Linked DNA regions of Astyanax mexicanus. The protein of the gene in region 2 interacts with the protein of the main gene of each other region in a biochemical or structural test. Links are inferred from orthologs where the notes say so. Each region holds a gene or a part of one and is shown on either strand. Other genes may lie near its edges. The genes, in order: zfyve9a, smad2 and erbin.

What was found.
Region 1: the proteins of smad2 (region 2) and zfyve9a are reported together in a solved structure, tested with the Homo sapiens proteins (2 studies listed by BioGRID and IntAct, with this or other methods). The link is inferred for Astyanax mexicanus from reciprocal best matches to the Homo sapiens genes SMAD2 and ZFYVE9.
Region 3: the proteins of smad2 (region 2) and erbin form a complex in vitro, tested with the Homo sapiens proteins (2 studies listed by BioGRID). The link is inferred for Astyanax mexicanus from reciprocal best matches to the Homo sapiens genes SMAD2 and ERBIN.

The regions. Positions count from the first base shown.
Region 1 is NC_064411.1:57,255,135-57,262,925, reverse strand, and holds the start of zfyve9a (zinc finger FYVE domain-containing protein 9), read left to right. Parts: upstream 1-4,789; 5' UTR 4,790-5,048; intron 5,049-5,074; exon of another isoform or gene 5,075-7,791. UniProt on the Homo sapiens protein: Early endosomal protein that functions to recruit SMAD2/SMAD3 to intracellular membranes and to the TGF-beta receptor.
Region 2 is NC_064427.1:23,598,153-23,605,107, reverse strand, and holds the start of smad2 (mothers against decapentaplegic homolog 2), read right to left. Parts: upstream 3,014-6,955; 5' UTR 2,832-3,013; intron 2,536-2,831; 5' UTR 2,426-2,535; intron 1-2,425. Other genes in the region: coiled-coil domain-containing protein 17, read left to right, coding at 4,387-4,515, 6,434-6,559, 6,713-6,818, 6,918-6,955. UniProt on the Homo sapiens protein: Receptor-regulated SMAD (R-SMAD) that is an intracellular signal transducer and transcriptional modulator activated by TGF-beta (transforming growth factor) and activin type 1 receptor kinases.
Region 3 is NC_064427.1:22,909,987-22,918,095, forward strand, and holds the start of erbin (erbin), read left to right. Parts: upstream 1-5,010; 5' UTR 5,011-5,692; intron 5,693-8,109. UniProt on the Homo sapiens protein: Acts as an adapter for the receptor ERBB2, in epithelia. By binding the unphosphorylated 'Tyr-1248' of receptor ERBB2, it may contribute to stabilize this unphosphorylated state.

The DNA.
Region 1 (7,791 bases), on a different chromosome or scaffold from region 2:
AAAAACAAAGTTTCAAGGTTTCGAGTTATGACTATTAGGGCTTATTGGGCAACTTTGAAAAAAATAATGTGCATTTATATAAAAAACTTAGGATTTTAAATTCTAAATCATCTCAATTCACAACGCCAAACTTCAAACCAGTAGACAGAAATAATTTACATATATAATTTGCAATTTACAATTACAAGTGTGATAAATTAAGAATGTATCATCTATTTATCTTAGGGATTCACCACGATATATCGGTATCGGACAGTAATTGCTTTTTTTTTGGAAACATCATTAAAATATAATTTCTTAGATTTGGCCGATATTTCAAACTCATATTTAATTACATATTTTTTGTATGTCAATAAAGGATTAAGCGACACCGGCTGCCTCACTTTCAATTCAATTGATTTAAGCTACATGTTAATTAAAAAAAGGTTTAAGAACAGTTTATGTAAGAACCAGTTACCTAAACAAATGTGAATCAAACAAACAAAAAATCTAAATTGTCAGGAGCACCCTTAACTTTTTTGTGTTGTATAAATTTAAAATATAAGGCAAATAAATGTTACATGTGTTTCTTCACTGTTAAAATAGATTTTTTTTATTAATAAAAGATCATAAATCTTTATTATTGCTGCTGCATTTCTAAAAAAGATATATACATGACAGTTTCCATTATCTAGTTAATAGGTTTTTACGTATATACATATCTATTAGGGGTGTGTCATATCGTAAGGAATAATATCACCAACATTTTTGAATATCGTGAACGATATTATACCCTGAAATATCATACCATATCACGCATCCCTAATTATCACATCAGGGTTCTACTTTTTTTTTTTTTTACTGTTTTTATCAAAAGAAAAATTCACACTGTTCTTATTTCCCATTATATATCTACTAGAGACAGATTATATCTGTGCAGTATCATTTATTTTACTTTAATCCTGGATATATGGAGATATTTGGAGTGTATTATTATTAGAATCATGACATTCTGTCAAGCCTTATTGACTTCTGTTACAAATCTGATAAAAATCTTGTATTTGTTAATATCTCGGTTAGGGGTGTGCCATATCATATCGTATACAATAATAAAATTTAATTTTCATTTTGTTGCAGTAGTGTATTCTTGAAATAATTTTTTATTTAGTATTTTGACATATCGCCAAGAGTATAGTCATTACAAAAAAACATAAAATATTGTCATATTATTTATTATTTTAGGGCCATATCGCCCACCTCTAATATGGGATTGCAGGGCTTTTTGACTACTATTTGGTTAATATATTTCTGGCAAAATCACAAAAGTTTTACATGGAAAATGCAGATATGTAGGTTTCTAACATATCTAAAGCCTATAACTTAAAAAAGCTAGCTAGCTAACTAGTCAATGACATTTGTTTACCTTAAATAAAATAAATAAAATAAAAAGTATATTTCAGGAGTTATAAAATATGCTTTATGCTAACTTTACGATTTATTAAAGCGAAATATCTTCAGTTATCTAGCTTTCTTTCCTAGAAAAGCCATAGTTAAGTGCTGTGAAAACTGCGGTATAAAATTAGCAAACTTAGCTGACAGTTTGACCTCAGAACTGAATTCCCGCGCTTTTATATGAACAGCGCGTGACCCCGGCGCGTGACTCTGGGCTCGTGACCCACTGCGCAGATCCGCTGATCTGTAGCTCATATTATGCACCACGTCTTGGCGATTATGATTTATAGATCATTAGATCTGCCGTCTGGATTTAAAATTAGGGATTTTTTATGATTTTTTTTTATGTAAAAGGCACAATAATATCTGACTGTAAATAAAATGTATGTAAATACAAAAATAAATATAAAAATGTAAAAAAAAAAAAAAGATAACTAAAATGCTCATATGGCCTCCATCATTTCTATAAACTAATAAACATTTCAACACTTTCTTAAAATAAACTAATTTTATCAAATGTTTCAGGTAAAAGACAAAAATGTAGAGATTAAATAATTTTCTAGAGTTTAGATGTTTTTAATTGTTCTATAAGAAGGAAAACCAATACTACTTTTAAATCTTTACTAATAAGTTGTGCAATGGATTCTACTAGTTTTTATATGCAGATCCAAATGTGCAGTATACTGTATATACAGTTTGGTTATTTTAATATAAAGTTAATTATACGTTTTAAAATGTAAAAAAAAAACAGGTTGAACATGATGTATAGATCATTAAATCTGACATCTGGGTTTAAAATGAGGGATTTTTATGATTCTTTGTTAATGTGAAGAGCACAATAATATCTGACTGCTAATAATATTTATGTAATTAAAAAAATAAATATCAAAGATTCGAAAAATGTGGCCTCCATTATTTCTACAACCTACTAAAATTTCGACATCTTCCTAAAATAAACTAATTGTTTTTACCCAAAAATGTACCAAATATTATGGCATAAAAGTATTTTTCTAGAGGTTAGATGTTTTAAATTGTTCTATAGAAAGAAAACCAATACTACTTTTAACTTTTCATCAAACAACATGTATTCTATTGCTTTTTATACAGATCCAAATGTGGCGTATACTGTGAATAGAGTATTGTGATTTTAAAATAAAGTTAATTTTTATATAAACAAGTTTTAAAATGGTAAAAAAAATTTTTTGAGTATACTTCATTTTGTTCTGTGTAATTTCTCATTTCTGGTGTCATTTAATTAATTGTATCCCTGTCATCCATATTTATTCAGTGGGCGTTACTGTTTAGTTTACAATGCAGCTCCAGACTTCACAAATAACTAATTAATATTCTAGAATAAAATTACCTCCAAAGGCTGTGGTATTGAATATAGGACTGGTAACTCTGATAAACTTATTCTGTGCAACAGAGGGAACTCTTGCTCTTGATAAGTGCCAGTTTCATCATAAGGTTTCTGGTGGTCTTTGCGACTGCACTTTGTACTTTCAGTTCTTGACATTTTTCAGACTGCCTGACCCTCATATGTTTTTCTTCATAGTTTGGATGACTTTAGTATTAATCTACAATGCAGAACATTTTAAAATGATGTGAAAACACTGAATTTACAGTGTGTATGAATTCTGTGTGTATTTTGATTCTGCATATTTCTCCTTTCTGGTATAATGATTAATGATTATATTCTATGTTGTTATACGTTACATAACTTTTTGAAAAAAAAATGTAATACTTAGTAACTTATTAATATTTCAGGATAAAAATTACCTTCAAAGGCTGTGGTCTCGAATATAGGGCTGGTAACTTTGATGAACCTATTCTGTGCAACAAAGGAAATTCTTGCTCTCTTGTTTTCTTGGGGCAGTCCTGATGAGAGCCAGTTTCATCATCATAATGTTTTTGATGGTCTTTGTGGTGACTGAAATGGAGGATACCTTCAGTTCTTTAACATGTTTTTGTTCATAGTTTGGATGAGTTTAGTATTAATCTATCTACAGTACAGAACATTTCAAAATGATGAAAAATGATGAAAAAACACTGAATTTAAGGTGTGTGTGCCAACTTTTGACTGATTTAGTATCCTGTATGTCCTTTTTTTCTGCATATTTTCTGTATTTTGTTTTCTGATATCAATTAATAATTATATTTTAAGTTCTCAAAGTCAAAGTCAAAGTCAAAGTGGTTTTTATTGTCATTTCAGCTATATAAAGAGTACACAGTGAAACGAAACAACGTTCCTCCAGGGACCATGGTGCACATAAACACAGTGTAGACAGAACAATAGTGCAACAGTACAAAAGTGCAGACAGACAATACAACACCATACAGACAAAGAATAATAAATAACAAGACAGTGTGCAAATTATGCAGTGTGCAAAAAAGACCAGGTGAGGTAGTAATTACCTCTATTACACAGTGTGCAATAGAGTCCAGTGAGGTAGTAGGGTTTTTAGTGCTTTCCATTTTCTGGGGTAAGTGGGGTAAGAGTGTGTGTGTGCATGTACAGAAAAACCATCAGTTCAGTCTTTGCAGTTAAGGAGTCTGATGGCTTGGGGGTAGAAGCTGTTGCAGAATCTGGTCGTGCTGGACCGGATGCTGCGGTACCTTCTTCCCGAAGGCAGGAGGGAGAACAGTTCGTGTGAGGGATGGGTGGGGTCATTCACAATGCTGGTTGCTTTGCGGATGCTGCGGGTGGTGTAAATGTCCGTGATGGAGGGGAGAGAGACGCCGATGATCCTCTCAGCTGTCCTCACAATACGCTGGAGGGTCTTGCGGTCAGAGACGGTGCAGGTCCCAAACCAGGCAGTGATGCAGCTGCTCAGGATGCTCTCAATGGTCCCTCTATAGAAGAGTGTGAGGATGGGTGGAGGGAGACGGGCCTTTCTCAGCTTCCGGAGGAAGTAGAGACGCTGCTGGGCTTTCTTGGCTGTAGAGCTGGTGTTCAGGGTCCAGGTGAGGTTATCTGCTAAGTGGACACCAAGGAACTTGGTGCTCTTAACAATCTCCACAGAGGACCCGTCGATGTTGAGTGGAGAGTGGGTGTGTTGTGCTCTCCTGAAGTCAACAACCATTTCCTTTGTCTTGTCCACATTCAGGTGAAGGTTGTTGACTGTAAACCAGTCTGTCAGTTATACGTTACATAACTTTTTGAACGAAATAATAAAATGAATATATAATAACTTATTATTATTCCAGAATAAAAAAATACTTTCAAACATTGCCAATATTTGTAAGCACCGCCTCCTTTTCAACCCCACGCCCACAACCCCGCCCACGGGCGGAGCCAAATGCGTCACTCCTCGGCTTACAACCTACAAAGCAGTGAGTAATTACTCCAGGCCCCGCCCCTTTCTGATGCCGCGCTGTAGCAGCGCTGCCTCGCGCTCCCCGCTCTAGTTTAGAGGCCATCTTTACAGCCCGTGGGCCTGCAGCGGAGAACCGGAGACCCGCGGAGCGTCCACGCAGCTCAGCCGCCGCAGGGTGAGCTCAGAGCGGCCACAGCGGCTGGATCGCCCCGCTGAAGGAGCCGGAGCTGGAGGAGGAGCTGGAGCTGCTGCATGGCTGCGCTGCGCTGTGAGTGACTGAGGATGGCCACTGCAGCTGCGGTGAGTTAGTTAGAGAGCCAGGCAGCCTGGCACACTGATAATCGATCGTTTTCCGATAGATGATCAATCGATTTGATTAATTTTAATCCCCGGATCACCTTCACGGTGTCATTTTACACAGAGAAAGAGAGGCTGCAGCAGAACAACACAGGCTCTCACCCTGCTTTACTGCTGGATTTCTCAACAATCCGGATCATTAGCTGGAATAATTCGCTTTAAATCCACATTTTTAAACATTTTACATCCTTATTAACATACCACACAAGCTCCAAACCCTTTAAAACAGCCTGTTTTTATGTGATCAGCTGTAGAAAACGCTCAGGAAGAGGTCAAGCTCCAGCCAAAGTTTATTTACTCTAGCTCTAAGCTAGGCTATAACTGGCTAATGCTGTGGTGCAACACTGTTATCTAGAGGTTAAACCCTTTTAAAACCTTTTTAAACCCTTTAAAATGCTTTATTTTACTGCGTAGAACTAATTGTAAGTGTTTACTAAGGCTGTAAATGTTTATTATCTGGTTTCCAGGTTTTGATCCATGATAATACCATGCTATTTTGAAGTTGGATGCTATCCATGCTGTGGAATATGGAGCTCAACTGTTACATAGTTTTATCTTTTAGGTTTGACGTTTAAAAAAATAGTATACCAGTAATCAATTATGTATTGTTTGCATACACTGTAGTAGTACTACAGTAATCACACCCTGAATAAGGGCTGCAACTCATGATTAATTTGTTAGACAGCTAATCTGATGATTGTGTTGTTTGTTATTTTGAAGTTGGATGTCATCCCTGCTGTGGAATATGGAGCTCAACTGTTATTTCTTGTTCTCGTTTTATCTCTAGAAACAGCTGAAATGGGATTTAAATTCCCTTAAATTGTCCAAAACGTTGCTCTTTAAATGTGGAAAGTGCTGCTATTTATTGAGGAAATGTGTATTCTGTTGAATTTGGGCCCTTTTGGAGACGTAGACAGAGTTGAGTGTAAACTGTTTGATTTACCCAGTACTGTTTTACTGAATAGAACTACTTTTAAGTGTCTACTATGGCTACAAATGTTTATTAACTGGTTTCCATGCTGTCATCCATGATAATGCCATGCTATTTTGAAGTTGGGTGCCATCCATGCTGTGGAATATGGAGCTCAATTGTTACTTCTTACATAGTTTTATCTCTTAGGTTTGACATTTAAATTTTAGAGTACGGTAACCAATAATGTATATTTGAATACACTGTAGTAGTACTACAGTAATCACACACTGCTGAATACGTGGCTGCAATTAGGGCTGCAACTAATGATAATTTTGGTAGTTGACTGATTTGACTATTATTTTCCTGATTAGTCGATTTGTAGATTATTTCTGCTTCCTCTGGGAATGGCTTCGGTTTATAGCTTCCTCTGTCTTCGCTTCAAATCGCTAGAAACAGCTGAACAAGGGATTTAAATACACTTTAAATGTGGAAAGTGCTGCTATTTATTGAGGAAATGTGTATTCTGTTGAATTTGGGCCCTTTTGGAGACATGTTGAGTGTAAACTGTTTGAGTGTCCCCAGTACTGTTTTGCTAAATAGAACTACTTTTAAGTGTCCGCTAAGGTTACAGATGTTTATTAACTGGTTTCCATGCTTCGATCCATGATAATACCATGTTATTCTGAATTATTTTGAAGTTGGATGCCATCCATCTTGTGGAATATGGAGCTCAACTGTTATATCTTTTTATTAGGTTTGATATTTTAATTTTAGTATACGTATTGTACAGTAATCAATATTGTATATTCGCATGCACTGTAGTAGTACTACAGTAATCACACACTGAATTAGGGCTGCAACTAATGATCAATTTGGTAGATGGCTGCAACTATTGAATATTTTGTTCGTCTACTTATCTGGCGATTATTTTTTCCGATTAGTTAACGATTATTTCTGCTTGCTCTGGGTATGGTTCCTGTTTCTAGCTTTCTCTGTCTTCGCTTCAAATCGATAGAAACAGCTGAACAAGGGATTCAAATGCCTTTCAAATGTCCAGAACGTTGCCCTTTAAATGTTTAAAAATGCTGCTATTTATCGAGGAAATGTGTTGAGGTAACCTGTTGAATTTGGGCACATTTTGAGACACACAAAAAAAAGAAGGAATAAAGTGTTGTTTGATTAATAATTTAAACAATACTCAATTATTGATGTGTTCTTCAGCATGCTAACGCTAGGTGACAAAGATCACCACCTCTAAGCTATTTACGTGCCGTTAAAATTACTGCAATCAGTTAAATCAAACAGATAAGATGTAAACTAGGCCCAAAGCAATAGTTACATCAGTGAGTTATCATAAAATAAACATGCAAACATAATCTCAGTAAAAATCCACAACAACACTGTTTAATACCGTAATATGAGATTGCTGTGTTTAATACTAATAATCCTTGCTTAAAAAGCCTGTGGGTGGATATATTTATGGATGTATACATGTATTGATGAGTACATTCATGTCTGGATAGAAATATTAGTAAATATATTGACCAATATACAGTATAGGTGGATGTACTGTTGGGTAAATCAATGTATTTATGGATGGAATTGTGTAGAAAAGTATACTGATGGTTGGTTGGATATATCAATGGATACATGGATGGAAGGATGGATATATTGAAATACAGATGCATGGACAAATAAAAATGGCTATATACTGTAGGTATCAAAATATATGTTTTGATTAAGACTGTATTTAGGTGTATGTACTGATGGCAG
Region 2 (6,955 bases):
CAGATTTCAGTATTAAATGCCTCTAGAGTTTCAGGACTAAAGTCCATGGAGCTGATGAGTTCTTGGAGAGCCTGATCGCTAATTAATCTCTTTACACAGCTCATTTGGTGAGTAGAGAGTGTGAGAAAGAGTGTGGTTAAATGACTAACCGTTCTGTTATAACTCTTACTGTATGGGTTTGTGGGTATGAACACAACTGTGCCAAATTTAAGCATGATGGAGACTGAAGATATATGAAGATAAAAGCACCACACTAGATAGCAGCTGGATGCTTATGGCAAGATGTAGCAGGAACAAACTCTTTATTATAGACTAGTTAAAGAAATGTTTTGGCTTTTTTCTTTACAGTAGTCTGAAAGTGTCTGAATTACACATTAAATTTATTATTTTTCTGCACTTTCTATCTGTGTGTAGATTTTTGTTAAAAGTTAGCATTCTAACACCACCTGAAGTACTGAAACTGTCGACTGCACTATGTTGACAGAAGCATACTGTTAGTTGCTAGGTTCTCTCTCTTCTGCATAACATCCAGATATGCTCATTTCCTTTGTATCAACAACCAATTGTTAAAGAAAAAAGGGGGAGTTTCTTGATAGAAAGACACAAATACAAGTGCAGAGCTCTCCACTTCAGAAGCACCTTTTTACAGCGATGATGGGTGTTAAGAGTATTTTCTAATCTATGCAACAACAAAAAAAATCGGATATGTTAATACATTTAAACAAGAACTGAATTCAGCCAGACTGTATCCACTGTTCAGATTTCTGCTTTTAAAATGCATGCAAATGTTTATCCACATATTAAGCTAACTAGATAGTGCCTCATTTTTTAAACATAAAATTAATAAACGAAAACGTGACACAAGAAAAGAAATAGTATTTAACTGGGGCAGTTCAATTGTTTATAATTAGGGATTTAGGGGCAGATTTTGGTTAGTGCATCCCTGTTTATTTAATTTACAATATTTGCTGTGGTGTCTTGTCATAAAGGTCAGTGTAACTTTTATCAGTTAAATTTTGAGAGTTTGAGGCCAAATTTGATAAATATTGGATATAAAAATGTATATACTTTTAATTGTTTATTATTATTTCTGCATTTCACAAACAGAATTTTAGGAAAAATGAAATCTTCTCAATATTCTGATTTCAATTTTTGCATCAAAAACATCATGGTATAATAAAACTTACTTTTGTTACAACTGTGTTCTGACAGTTGCAGAAACGATATAAAACACATTATTCTAAAAAAAAAGTAATGCAGTGGTGCTTCAAAATGTTCTATTTCAGCCTCAGTCAGAAAATATTAACTGAGGCCCTACAAGTAAACAGGGTAAAAAAATAAACAGGGATGCAGTGAACGAATAACATTTTTTATGAAACAAGAAAAAATTATATATATTTCTGCACTAAGTAAATAGACTAGATATGTGATTGATCCATATTAATTATTCGATCTTGAAGTTGGTAAGTCATTATACAGTTCTGGAAAAAGTAAGAAACCACTTCAGTTTCTGAATCAGTTTCTCTGATTTACCTATTTATACGTATATATGTTTGAGTAAAATAATCATTGTTTTATTCTATAAACTACAGACAACATTTCTCCCATATTCTAAATAAAAATAAGATGCAGTGCTTTCAGACTTCAAATAATGTTCAAACAAGTTCAAATTATAAAGTTCTAAAAGTATAGAAGTTAATACTTGGTGGAATTAGCCTGTTTTTTTTTCATCACAGTTTCATGTATCTCCGCTCCTCAACCTTACACACTGCTTTTGGATAACTTTATGCCACTCCTGGTGCAACAATTCAAGCAGTTCAGCTTGGTTTGATGGCTTGTGATCATCCATCTTCCTTTTGATCATTTTTAATTTGGTAAAATCAAAGAAACTCATACTTTTTAAGTGGTCTCATTCTTTTCCAGAGCTGTATATCTAAGATATGTTGAGTGCCTCGTTAGTAGAAATCTTGTTTGTTTTTGTTTTTTTTTTGCAGTAGTGTATTCCTGAAATATTTTTTTTTTTATTTCAGTGTTTTGGTATATCCCAATGAGTATCATGATGATATATGAGCCATATCACCCACCCCTACTATCATAACTAGTGTCAGTTATTAATTAGTAGTTAGTTTAGGCAAATACTTAAATGTGTATTAGTGTGTTTAGTAAATGCATAAGCATTATTAAATTAAATGTTAAATTAAATGTTTTTTTATTGAAATCAAGATTTAAACTACACCGATAAACCGGTCCACACGTTGCCAGCAGTCTATGAAAAAACACGTAGCTTAGGTTAGCTAACCTAACTTACTTAGCTAACGTTACCCATCCACAGAAAAACAGGCCAGGGCCTACAGAAGCTGCTCTTTACAAAGAGGAGATATTAATAAATGGTTTTTAAAGGCTTCTGTGTGCGTCCAGCACTTACCTCGGGCAGCAGGACTGATGGAAAATGTGGAGAGGAGATGTTGTTTTATGGCTGCATGAAAAGCCCCGTCCGAGCGAGCGAGTCCCGGGGCGAGAGGCTGAGGCTAGCGGCTACAAACGAGAACAAACCCAGAGTGTGAATGCAGATGGAGCCGGCCACGGTTACACAAAAACACAGCACTGTTCAAGCATCTTTTAGCAGTATCTGTAACCGCGGAGAGGTGATGGTGCTGGAGAGGTGGCGGTTTTAGTGATTAAGGAGGTGTGTGTATGTGTGTTCAGCTCAAAAAACCGCTAAGTTAAGCTCGGAGGCTTCGCCACTTTGTTTGACAGAAAAATAAACAGGTTAGAGACGTGTTCGCGGAGCAGCTCCTATTTTCACCTATTTTTACAGCAATAAAACTCACCTTCAGGATGAGCCGCCGGCTTTATGCACACCCCAAAAATGTGTACGGACCCTCCACACCAAAACCTGGCGTTTATCTCCGTCCTCCAGGCTCTAAAAATCGATTTAAACTGTATTTTTCTTTCTCTCTGTAGCCAAATTACAGCAGCAGACGACGGTGGCCTCTCTCATATGGACAACCGAACCTTAACGCACTCAACGCGATACAGGCCCGCCCTCAGTCCCGCCTCTAGTCCCGCCTTCGTGCTGCTATTGGTCAAAATCTCAGCCAACGCGCTTCTACTTAGAATACATTGGTCAGCATCTGCCGTCAGTATATCCAAATATTAATTATGCAAAGCGGCCCGCGTACCCCATTGGTCGTCCAGACTCGCCATTCCCTCGTTGACGTTTGGATTCCAGGCCGCAGGCTGTGGTTTGTCGACGCGGCCGTCCGTCTGTCCATCTGTTTGCTTCGTAACCGAAGCACAGAGAGAGAGAGATGCGCTGAGAGCCGAATCGCAAAGTGGGTTAGATACGGCTGCACAGCCCCATCAAAGCAAACAAGCAGCGTATCCCTCCGCCATTCAACAAAGGAGAAACAAATAGGGCCTCAAAATAGCTTTTCTTCTATGGAGATTATAATTAAATATTTGTTGTGTAGAATTTATACAACTTATTTCACTTTTGATAAACTTTATACAAATATTTACTAGCATCGTTAAAAAAATCTGAATTTTAAGATATTTTTTGTGTGTTTTAAAATTTTACACTTTACAACTACGGTCACAAACAATACCAACACTTACGACATTAAACATTAAATATTGTTAAATGGTTAATAATGACAAAATGTCTCAGCTAATTATTCATTGGAACTAGTTAAAACATTATTAAACTTTAATATTTTTAAATATTTTTAATTGATTATTATATTTTAACGTTTTCCATAAATAATTAGATGAGATATTCGGTCATATGTACTGTTTATTAATGAGTTACTACTTTAAAGCGTTACTAATTTATTAAAATCAAAATTGATTCACACGTTGACTAAAAAAAGTGACATATCTAAGCATTTAAATCCTTTTGTTGGACTTCAAATATTTAATTTATAGTTTAAAAAATCTGAAACCATATAACATTTATAACATTGTTTTTTGTGTGTTTTAAAATTGTGAGATGGTAAAATTTGCTGTTGAAAAAAAAGTACATTTAAAATATGTAAATATATATATTTATAAAATTATTAAATTAAGATAATATTAATAAGATATTACAATGGTAAAATAAAAAGTGAATAAAATAATAAGCCAAAGTATCAAAAAGGTTAAAAAGTTTTTTTTTATTTATATAAGAAGATTGTTATTTCACAGTGAAAGAGTTTAAATGGGCTGGAACTGTAATAACTCATTCCCAGCGTGTCCAGCAGACGGCGCTGCTGTAAGTTTGGTTTGGTGTGTGTTATGTATTATTGGTTGTCAAGAGCAGCTCAACACAGAGCCTGGCTGAACTGCACAGACATTTACCTACCTGGCTAATCCGGTTTTATTTAATAAGAGTTTTTTTTTTCAGCAATGGATTCATTAATTTGTTCTAGATGTAATATGACGTTCAGATCATCAAATTTTCTGGCAAAGCATCGGGAGAAGTTCTGTATTGGAAGTGTTGGTCAGAATGAAGAGTCTGATTTCCATCAAAACCTGGTAAAATTTCATGTTTCATGTTATATGTTTAAATGTGTATGCTATCCATATCTACTGTGGAACCAGATCTTTATTGTGTCTCACTGTGAAGCTAAAGTCTGATTGCATGGACAATGTTTGCCAGATGCTGCCAGTCCCATAACTTTTGGCATGTCAATACAGGATGACACACATTTTTACTGATGTCTGTATTAATTTATATTTTATATATTATAAGGGTTCTTTAGTAAAGGCACCAGAACCACTTATACAGAAAGAAATATGTAGAAGGGCAATTCCACCGAATAGGTGCAATTTGCTTGTTGTAACGCTTCCAAATTAAGCTTTTTATTTTTTTTTTCAACTCTGAATCTAATAACATATTTAACTATTTAAAACATGTACTGGTCAAACTCAGGCAGCTTTACTTATGTTTTTTGATTAAAGTGTTAAGGTTTCAAATCCGAAGATGGTTACAAAATTCATGTTACATTTAAAAAAACACTAGTCCACTAATTCCTTTGATTTTCTCCCAAGAAAGTCTTTTTTTTAAAGAAAGTCTTTTCATTTAAAAAAAAATGGTTGACTGCATGTTCAAATAATTATTATTTATGACAAAAAAACTCATTCCTGTTATTTTTATGTTTTTTGAGTACAACTGTGAAAGTCATAAAAGTAAACAAGAATGGTCTATGGTTTTTAGCATGGAATTAGCAAAAACATAAGACATAGCTAAGTTGCGGCTATGCTAATAGCATGAGGACACTAAGCACATTCTAGTGATTTTCCCAAAAGGAACTAATTCAGGTAACAGGAAGTGTTAAGATTGAGCTCCTCAGTCATAGTTACAATAAGATCAAATAAACAGAAAAACAAAAGAGGGAACTTACAGTAATTTTGGTCTGGATTTTGGTATGATTTTCAGAAGAACCAGCTGATGTCACTTCCTGTTGTAGAAGTGACTTGTAGAATGTTTTCAGATGTTTTAGATGGGGTAATGTGTTACGGTAACAGGACTGAGTGAAACCCAGTGACACAACTAAAATGTGTATTTTAACATAAACATTTTTATGGACGCCCATTTCCGCCACCTAAAATAAAATAAAAAATCCAGCACATTTTTTTCTTATTATTAAGTTAACTGCCATCTTATTTTTTGAGATAGTAAGTCATTTTTTGAGATACTATCTCATTATTTTTAAAAACTATTTCATTATTTTGAGATAATATCTCATTATTATGAGATAGTAAGTCATTATTTTGAGATAGTAAGTCATTATGTTGAGATACTGTCTCATTATTTTGAGATGCTAAGTCATTATTTTGGGATACAAAGTCATTATTTTGAGATAGTAAGTCATAATTATTTTAAAATATTTTTTCTGAAAGCAAACACACTTGCTATCTCAAAATCACTTAATATCTCAGACTAATGAGGTAGTATCTCAAAATAATGAAAAGTATCTTAAAATAATGACTTACTAGTTGGTCAAAATGGGCTTCCATAAACTTTTGACTTATTATGAACAAAACATTATTAAAATTATTAAAAAACAAAAAAAAATTTTAAACATAGATGGGATTTGAAGTCAAACAGCAATGCAAAAAAGAAATACATCTCTGAAGGATTTTAATAATTATATTTCATGGTAAAATGTATAGTTAGAGACTGGAGACAGGTAACAAATGCTATTTTTTTCAGTGTTTAAAGTCGTTTTTATTAATGTTTTTAATTACATATTTTACTTTTGCAATTACACCATTGTACAAGACACTATGCTTAATAATAAAATGTATTTTAAAGTTATTTCTGCACATTTATACATGTATTTCCTGAGGACAGAAAAGGCACCCATTTGGTGGAATTGCTCAAAAATACATAGTGTCCTATATGATATGAGGATATCTGAAGTACTTGTATTGTTTCATACTTCCACAGAATGAGAGGATAAGAGAATTGAGGAGGATACGGCAGCAGGACAGGCCTAATGCAAGAGCCCAACTCAGCCAGCAGAACATTCACACACCAGCTCAGAACCACATGCAAAAACCCAGCAGTGAACCAGTAAGAAACACATATAAACAGCCCCACAAATGTTTTATGACCTCTGCTTTTATTGGTTTTGCCTGAATTGCAGTAATTTTAGTTCATTTAGATAGAGATGAGAGTGTATGTGTGTGTGTGTGTGTGTGTGTGTGTGTGTGTGTGCATGGACAGACAGCAGGCAGGTCAGAAGATCAGCTCCTTCAGATCCAGCCAAAGATGGACAAGCAGAAGATGGTGAGATCTGCTGACAGCAAACATCTAAACCAGCACAGAGAAGGTAATCATGAGCTGACCCTTTTTGCACAATTACTCATGCATTAAATTAGTTTTTTTTATTCATAAATTAGCCATCTGAAGACCCACTGGTTGGTTGCAGAGATGGACCTGCAGGAACTGCCTGCTCAGAACAGGAAA
Region 3 (8,109 bases), about 690 kb from region 2:
TGGGAAAATAGCTGTTTTTTCATCTTTCTAAATGTACCACAATCTGTTATTTATATGTACGCATATTTATATGTTTTAGAGACTGCAGAATTTGTTGTTCTTACAACTTCAGAGAGTTTGTATATTAAACATCTGTAGAGATTGTTCAATTTGTGTTCAAATAATCTTTTGTATCATTAATAAATTACTTGATCATGTAACTTGAGGATCTCCAAGTGTCTGTGGATCTCTAAATGTCTTTTCGGACATCTCCAAGTGTTTATTTTGGGCATCTCCAAGTGACCTTTTGGGCATCTCGAAGTGTCCATTTGGGCATCTCTAAAAGGATGTCAATTTGGGCATCTCCATTGTCTTTTTGGGCATCTCTAAGTGTCCCTTTGGGTATCTCCAAGTGTCCTTTTGGGCATTTCTAAGTGTTCAATTTGGGCATCTCCAAGTGTCCTTTTGGCCATCTCCAAGTGTTTATTTTGGGCATCTCCAAGTGTCCTTTTGGCCATCTCCAAGTGTTTATTTTGGGCATCTCCAAAAGGATGTTGGGCATTTCCAAGTGTCCTTTTGAGCATCTCCAAGTGTCCTTTTTGGCATCTCCAAGTGTCACTTTGGACATCTCCAAGTGTCACTTTGGGCATCTCCAAGGGTCCTTTTGGGCATCTCCATTGTCTTTTTGGGCATCTCCAAGTGTCACTTTGGGCATCTCCAAGTGTCCTTTTGGGCATCTCCAAGTGTCCTTTTGGGCATCTCCAAGTGTCACTTTGGGCATCTCCATTGTCTTTTTGGGATCTCCAAGTGTCCTTTTGCGCATTTCCAAGTGTCACTTTGGACATCTCCAAGTGTCACTTTGGACATCTCCAAGTGTCACTTTGGGCATCTCCAAGTGTCACTTTGGACATCTCCAAGTGTCACTTTGGGCATCTCCATTGTCTTTTTGGGCATCTCCAAGTGTCCTTTTGGGCATCTCCAAGTGTCACTTTGGGCATCTCCAAGTGTCCTTTTGGGCATCTCCAAGTGTCACTTTGGGCATCTCCAAGTGTCACCTTGGGCATCTCCAAGTGTCATTTTGGGCATCTGCAAGTGTCCTTTTGGGCATCTCCAAGTGTCATTTTGGGCATCTGCAAGTGTCCTTTTGGGCATCTCCAAGTGTCCTTTTGGGCATCTCCAAGTGTCACTTTGGCATCTCCAAGTGTCCTTTTGGGCATCTCCATTGTCTTTTTTTGGCATCTGCAAGTGTCCTTTTGGGCATCTCCAAGTGTTCAATTTGGGCATCTCCAAGTATCCCTTTGGGCATCTCCAAGTGTCCTTTTGGGCATCTCCAAGTGTCACTTTGGGCATCTCCAAGTGTCACTTTGGGCATCTCCAAGTGTTACTTTGGGCATCTCCAAGTGTCCTTTTGGGCGTCTCCAAAAAGGACATTGGGCATTTCAAAGTGACCTTTTGAGCATCTCCAGGTGTCCTTTTTGGCATCTCCAAGTGTCACTTTGGACATCTCCAAGTGTCCTTTTGGGCATCTCCAAGTGTCCTTTTGGGCATCTCCAAGTGTCACTTTGGGCATCTCCAAGTGTCTTTTTGGGAATCTCCAAGTGTCACTTTGGGCATCTCCAAGTGTCACTTTGGGCATCTCCAAGTGTCACTTTGGGCATCTCCAAGTGTCGTTTTGGACATCTCCAAGTGTCACTTAGGGCATATCCATTGTCACTTTGGACATCTCCAAGTGTCACTTTGGGCATCTCCAAGTGTCACTTTGGGCATCTCCAAGTGTCCTTTTGGGCATCTCCAAGTGTCACTTTGGGCATCTCCAAGTGTCACTTAGGGCATCTCCAAGTGTCCTTTTAGGCATCTCCAAGTGTCCTTTTGGGCATCTCCAAGTGTCACTTAGGGCATCTCCAAGTGTCACTTTGGACAACTCCAAGTGTCCTTTTGAGCATCTCCAAGTGTCCTTTTGGGCATCTCCAAGTGTCCTTTTGGGCATCTCCAAGAGTCAGTTTGGGCATCTCCAAGTGTCCTTTTGGGCATCTCCAAGTGTTCAATTTGGGCATCTCCAAGAGTCAGTTTGGGCATATCTAAGTGTCACTTTGGGCATCTGCAAGTGTCCTTTTGGGCATCTCCATTGTCTTTTTTGGTATCTCCAAGTGTCCTTTTGGGCATCTCCATTGTCTTTTTTTTGGCCTCTACAAGTGTCCCTTTGGGCATCTCCAAGTGTCCTTTTGAGCATCTCCAAGAGTTTTTTTGGGCATCTCCAAGTGTCCCTTTGGGCATCTCCAAGTGTCCCTTTGGGCATCTCCAAGTGTCCTTTTTTGTTCTTTTGAGTTAATCTATTGAAAAAAATAAATGAATAAAAATTAAATAAAATAAAAAATGCTCAATGCTTCATCTTTTACTGTTCTTATAAAAACGGGTTAGTATGTTAATATTTTGTGTAGCAAGATGCCAACTCCACAATTTAAAGTTTAATAGTCTATGGTGGCCGCCTGGTGGCGACCAATCATCTGCTTTCAAACAGCAGAGATCCTCTTCCAAATGAAGTAACGAGAGGAGCCATTACCCACATTAAAAACTAACAATGATGAGAAGGTATGACCCACACTCACTTCTACACTGCTGCAGCTTTTCTTTAAAAAATGTTCAATCTTGTCTAGTTTACTCAAATAGGAACATAAATATATTAAGGAATATTAAAAGGCTGAGAAAGTTAAACAGCCAGACTAAGGGACGCTACAGCTGGTTAAACCGAGAAACCCCGAGGCAGTTTCTACTCTCCTTCTCTCCATCCTTTCTAACGTTTCCACCCCCCTCTGTTTCTGTAATCTTTCCCCTGTAAAAGCACGGCTAGATTTTCTATAAAAAACTGTAAAACACACATGCCTTGTCCGGACTTTCAGACTCCTCAATTCTGGGTCCAAACCAAACTAGCAGGTGTGAAAGAGGGCATGAAGCACGGTCCGGATCAAAAGAGCAGAGTTTCAGGAGTGTTGATTGTTGCGGGGGAGTACACAGCTCTGAAAAAAACCTTAAGAGAGCACTTCAGTTTCTCTAATTTTGTACAACTAACATTGTTTTATTTTTTAAAAATACAAAAAAATACTAAATTCCAAATAAAAATATCGTCATTTTAGAGCATTTATTTACAGAAAACGAGAAATGGCTGAACTAAAAAAAAAAGATGCAGAGCTTTCAGACCTTAAATAATGCAAAGAAAACAAGTTAATATTCATAAAGTTTTAAGAGTTCAGAAATCAATATATGGTGGAATAGCCCTGGTTTTTCATCACAGTTTTCATGCATCTTGGCATGTTCTCCTCCACCAGTCTTACACACTGTCACTTCTAGTTAAAAAATTTAAGCAGTTCAGTTTGGTTTGATGGCTTGTGATCATCCATCTTCCTCTTGATTATATTCCAGAGATTTTCAATTTGGTAAAAACCCGTCACTTTTATGTGTTTTCTTTTTTTTTTTTTTACCAGAGCTGTATATCAATGCGTATATCTATGCATTTACACGTTACAGATTTACAAAGCATTTATCACCAGACTTAAAATCAGGCATGGTGCGGAGAAGCGCATTCCATGCGTAAAAACGCGCGCCGTGCGTAAAAGCGCATTCGGTGCGTAAAAACGCGCGCCGTGCGTAAATGCGCATTCCGTGCGTAAAAACGCGCGCCGTGCGTAAAAACTATAGAGAAAAAAGCTATAGAGAAAAACTGCTTCTCAGGTGTTGATTATTATTTAGATTATATTAATACTCATGTATTTAGCTGTAGCTCAGAATCGCTGTTTAAAGGATCGGTGGAGGCTTATGAAGGCTCACAAGCAGAAAACAGTGATAGTCGTGTTTATTTCGATCACTAGAGGGAGACCTAACACTAAAATCACTATAGATTTTAAATCTGCACTCCTTTCACTATATCCAGATACTGCTCCAGAGAAGGAGAAAAGAAGGTTATGTTACTGTGCATTTTACTGTTTTCTACTAATACTGTGTTAATGACTCTGTGTGAAATAAGAATTCAAGGAAATAAAATTAACCAAATACAGCAGTATACACAAATTAGTATTTGATAAAGAATGGACCTGCAGGGTCTGAATTTCAGGAAAAAAATTATTAAGTTTTCAATTTTATAATATATAATTTACACGAAAAAAATAGAAAATCAAGTAAAATTAATTTGTATTGTATATAAAATAAGTTTTGTGATGTAATGTTAAACTGGGTGAAAAACTTAGTTTGCAACAAGCAATGCCAAATTTTCTAAAAGTTAGAAAACTTCCCACAGATCAGCAGTGCCATTCAAAAAAAAACATACATTTATTTACACTGCCTGACCCAAAAATCACCACCAAAAAAACACAAAACACCAAAACACTCTGATATTTCGTTGTATCGCTTTTAGCTTTGATTGCGGCATTGATTCAATAAGCTTCTGCATTTATATCAATCCAGTGTTGCATTAATTTTTTACCAAGATCTTGCAGCAGCATTAATGATGGTAGAGTCTGACCTCTGCACAAAGCATCTTCTTCTCCAGCACATCCCAAAGATTCTCAATGAGGTTAAGATGTGGACTCTGTGGTGAATAATCCATGTGTGAAAATGATGATCTCATGCTTCCTGAACCCTGAACTCTTTCACAATTCGGGAAGAAAATCTGTTGTTGGAATAACCTGGTCTATATTCAGTATATTCAGGTAGTCAGTTGACTTTATTCTTTATGCACATACTGTTGCTGAACCTAGACCTGCAGACCAACTGCAGCATCAACCCCACATCATTTACTTACTTAAATCCAGGAGGAGACTTGATTTTTTGGCCTTAGAGAAAACCTGTTTACAGCCGGAGCTCCTTATATGGGCATAATTGAGTTCGACCACGGAACGACGTCACGAGCTCATTTCTGTTTCTCCACCGCTTTTGGTGGGTTGTGGTTAGGTTTAGGCAGCGGCCAGCAGATGGCGCTGCATCTCACAGTTTCCCCGCTCAGCGCCGCCGCTGCTGCCTGTTTTCAGCCCCTCTCTCTCCCTCTCTGCGCTGCATCACTTTACACTGAGTCCTCGCTCTGAGCTCCCCGTGTCCGCGTCCACCCGCCGCTTCTTCAGGGTGTGCAGCCACTTCTGCTTCACCGCTGGACCCGTGTTTATGTCCCACGCTCTTCAGAGGGAAGCAGTGGGAGGTTGTGAGGAGAGTTAGCCGGCTGTGTGTGTGGGTGCGGCGCGCTGTGATCTCTATATAAACCGCTGTGGAGTATTTTTCTCTCGCTTCTCCTCTGGTACATGGCTCCGGTTGTTGTGCTGCTGTGCGCTGTGTGGACGCGGTTTCAGCCCGTTTTCTGGAGCTCCGCGCTCTGAGCGAGCTCTGCTGGAGTTCTGCGGATCTGAGAACACTCTGACCGGGGAGATTAAGGTGGTCTGGGGGCTGTGTTTTGTGTTTGTGCTCGAGTTTGGGAGGAAAACTTGAGCGGTGAACTTTAGAGAGGTGGTGCTCTGTTCCTGATTGACTAACACAGAGTGTATAGCGTTAAGCAGGCTAACGCTAGTTAGCTTAGCATGCCTGCTAGTTAGCTAGCTAGCTAACCCTCCTTAACAGCCAGCCCGTGTGAACCGCGCGATGCCTTTGTGTGAACAGCTCATGTGGATTTAAAGTATTCGCTTTTCTTCTAATTAAACGAACCCGGAGGATTACGGAGAGCTGCTGGATAAATAAGGTAAGAACTCGACATGTTTTTACTGTCTGTTTCACTTCGTCCTTCAGCTGCTGGCGGCTGCTTCCTTGTTTGTTAGCCTGCCAGCCCAAATCGCGACGAGCTTGAAGTTGAAGTCGAATTCGCCGGTCCACCTTAAAAACTGCAGCGGTTTCAGTCAGAGCGCTTGGCTGCGTGCTCCGGCTCCACACCGCAACCGCTGCAGTATTTAAGGTGGACTGGAGAATTCACTTCCAAGAAATAAAATTAAGGTTCTGCTTTAGAAGATAGGAAAAAAATGATTTTGTTTTAATGGACTTATTAATGCCTAAGTAACTAAATTCACTAGAAACAAAAGCAGTTATTTAGCTAACATAACTGTACATCAATCAACCTTTATTTTCACTTGGTAATTTGAACAAAACAAAAAACATTGAGGGTAACCCTCATTTTTAATGAATCCCCAATAACTTAAAAAGGACTGAAAATAAAAGTTTAAATTAAAATTAAAAGCAAGTATTTTACCTCGTGAGGTAAAATAATAAAATTAACATAAAACAAAATAAATTATGTAGTAAAAGCATTAGAAAAACAAGCAAACAAACATTATAAGATTTTTATTTAGAAGAAATAAAAATATATATATTCAGAATAAAGGAATAATAAAATATATACATAAAAAAGAAATAATAATAAAATAAATACAAATGTAAAGGACAACAAGGAAAACATAATTCATAAAAGGACGAAATTAATAAAATATGTGAAAGAAAAATAAATAAAAAGGCTAAAAGGTAAAACAGAAATTTAGACGAATAAAAAGACTAAATCAATAAAAGGGGAAAAAAGGAAACTAAAACAGTTAAAGACTGTCTGAAGGTGGTTATAAACAAAGTTTAAAATGGTTTAGTGACACCAGTGAGCTTTAGAGTGAGTTTTAGAGTTTACTACACTGTAGCTGTATGTAGGCTGGGAGGATTAAAGGAATTGAATTAAGTGTATAATCAGGTAAACAAACCCCAGCCTGGTGATAAACTGCTGGACACCGTGCTTGCTTTGTGTCTGTCTGAACAGGTGAATCTGAACTAACCCTGCTAACGACTAGCTATCTGCCCTGATAGCAGTAAACATTGAATAAACGTTTGTTCATGTTGAGAAAAACAACCTTTAAACAACATTTATGTAACATTCTTTGGTTAATGTCTTTTCTGGCTTGAGAGATTCATTATTTGTTATAGATTTTTTTGTAGACACACATGAATTGCTATCATTATTTATATAAAAAAGCTAATTTTTTTGTTAGTCGTTTTATTGTTAGTATTCTCATTATGTGGGTTATTTGCTGGCTCAGTGCTGCATGCTCCTGGCTTCTGATTGAAAGTGAATGGATATTACCTGACAGATTAAACCAATTTAATCTGTCAGTCGCTCAGCATTTAGTTCAGTTCAGTTTATGTATTTTTGGATGCTAGAATTTGAATGCTTTCTCTTGTAATGAGTTTGATAAAAGATCTGTTGTGATAATTTCTGTTCTCTAATTCTGTTGCGTGAGTTCTGATGTAATGTATTCAGTCGTTTTAGAATTCCGTTTCAGCAGGATTCTGTTTATCAATTTAAATATTTTGTTTGGTAAAATCTAGTAGGTGTTACCGCTGCTTTGTTGCTACTTGATTCTGATCTGCTTTGCTCTGTTTCACATGTTTTTGTCTGATTCTGAATTTTAAACTATTGTTTACTATTGAGATATCTTTGGATATTCCCAAATATAATAATTGTCTGTTTTTGAATTTGATAGATCTAGGCATATTCTGTTGGGATTTAATATGTTCTGTTTTTTTTTTTTTTTTTTTTTTTTTTTTTTCAAATAATATAACAAGCAAACACTTGTTACTATATACTGCTTGAATTTTTGCACCAGGAGTGGCATAAAGTTATCAAAAAAAAAGCAGTGTGTCAGACTGGTGGAGGAGAACATGCCAAGAAGCATGAAAACCAGAGTTATTTCACTAAATTGATGATTATTTCTGAAGTCTTAAAACTTTATGGATATTAACTTGTTTTCTTTTCATTTCTTTACAACAATGTTCATTTTACTCAAACATACACCTATAAATAGCAAAATCCGATAAACTGGTTCAGAAACTGACGTTGTCTCTTTATTTTTTTCCAGAGCTGTATATGTGTATATCATCTGTACTATATTAAGAGATCATGTTTGTTCATCTTACTGTGGTTTTGGGTTTCCTCTGCACAGTATAATACGATTAGCATCCCAGCCTCCTCAGCTTGAGCTTTGATTGCGTAGCTAAACTCTGGAAACAAAACTGTATCCACACGATTTGGGAGAGTAGACAGAGTAGACACGGCACCCTGTTTAGACCTTTTAGTGTGTGCAACTAATAGAGTTAAATAGAATCAAATACTAAGGTGTATATGGAAGG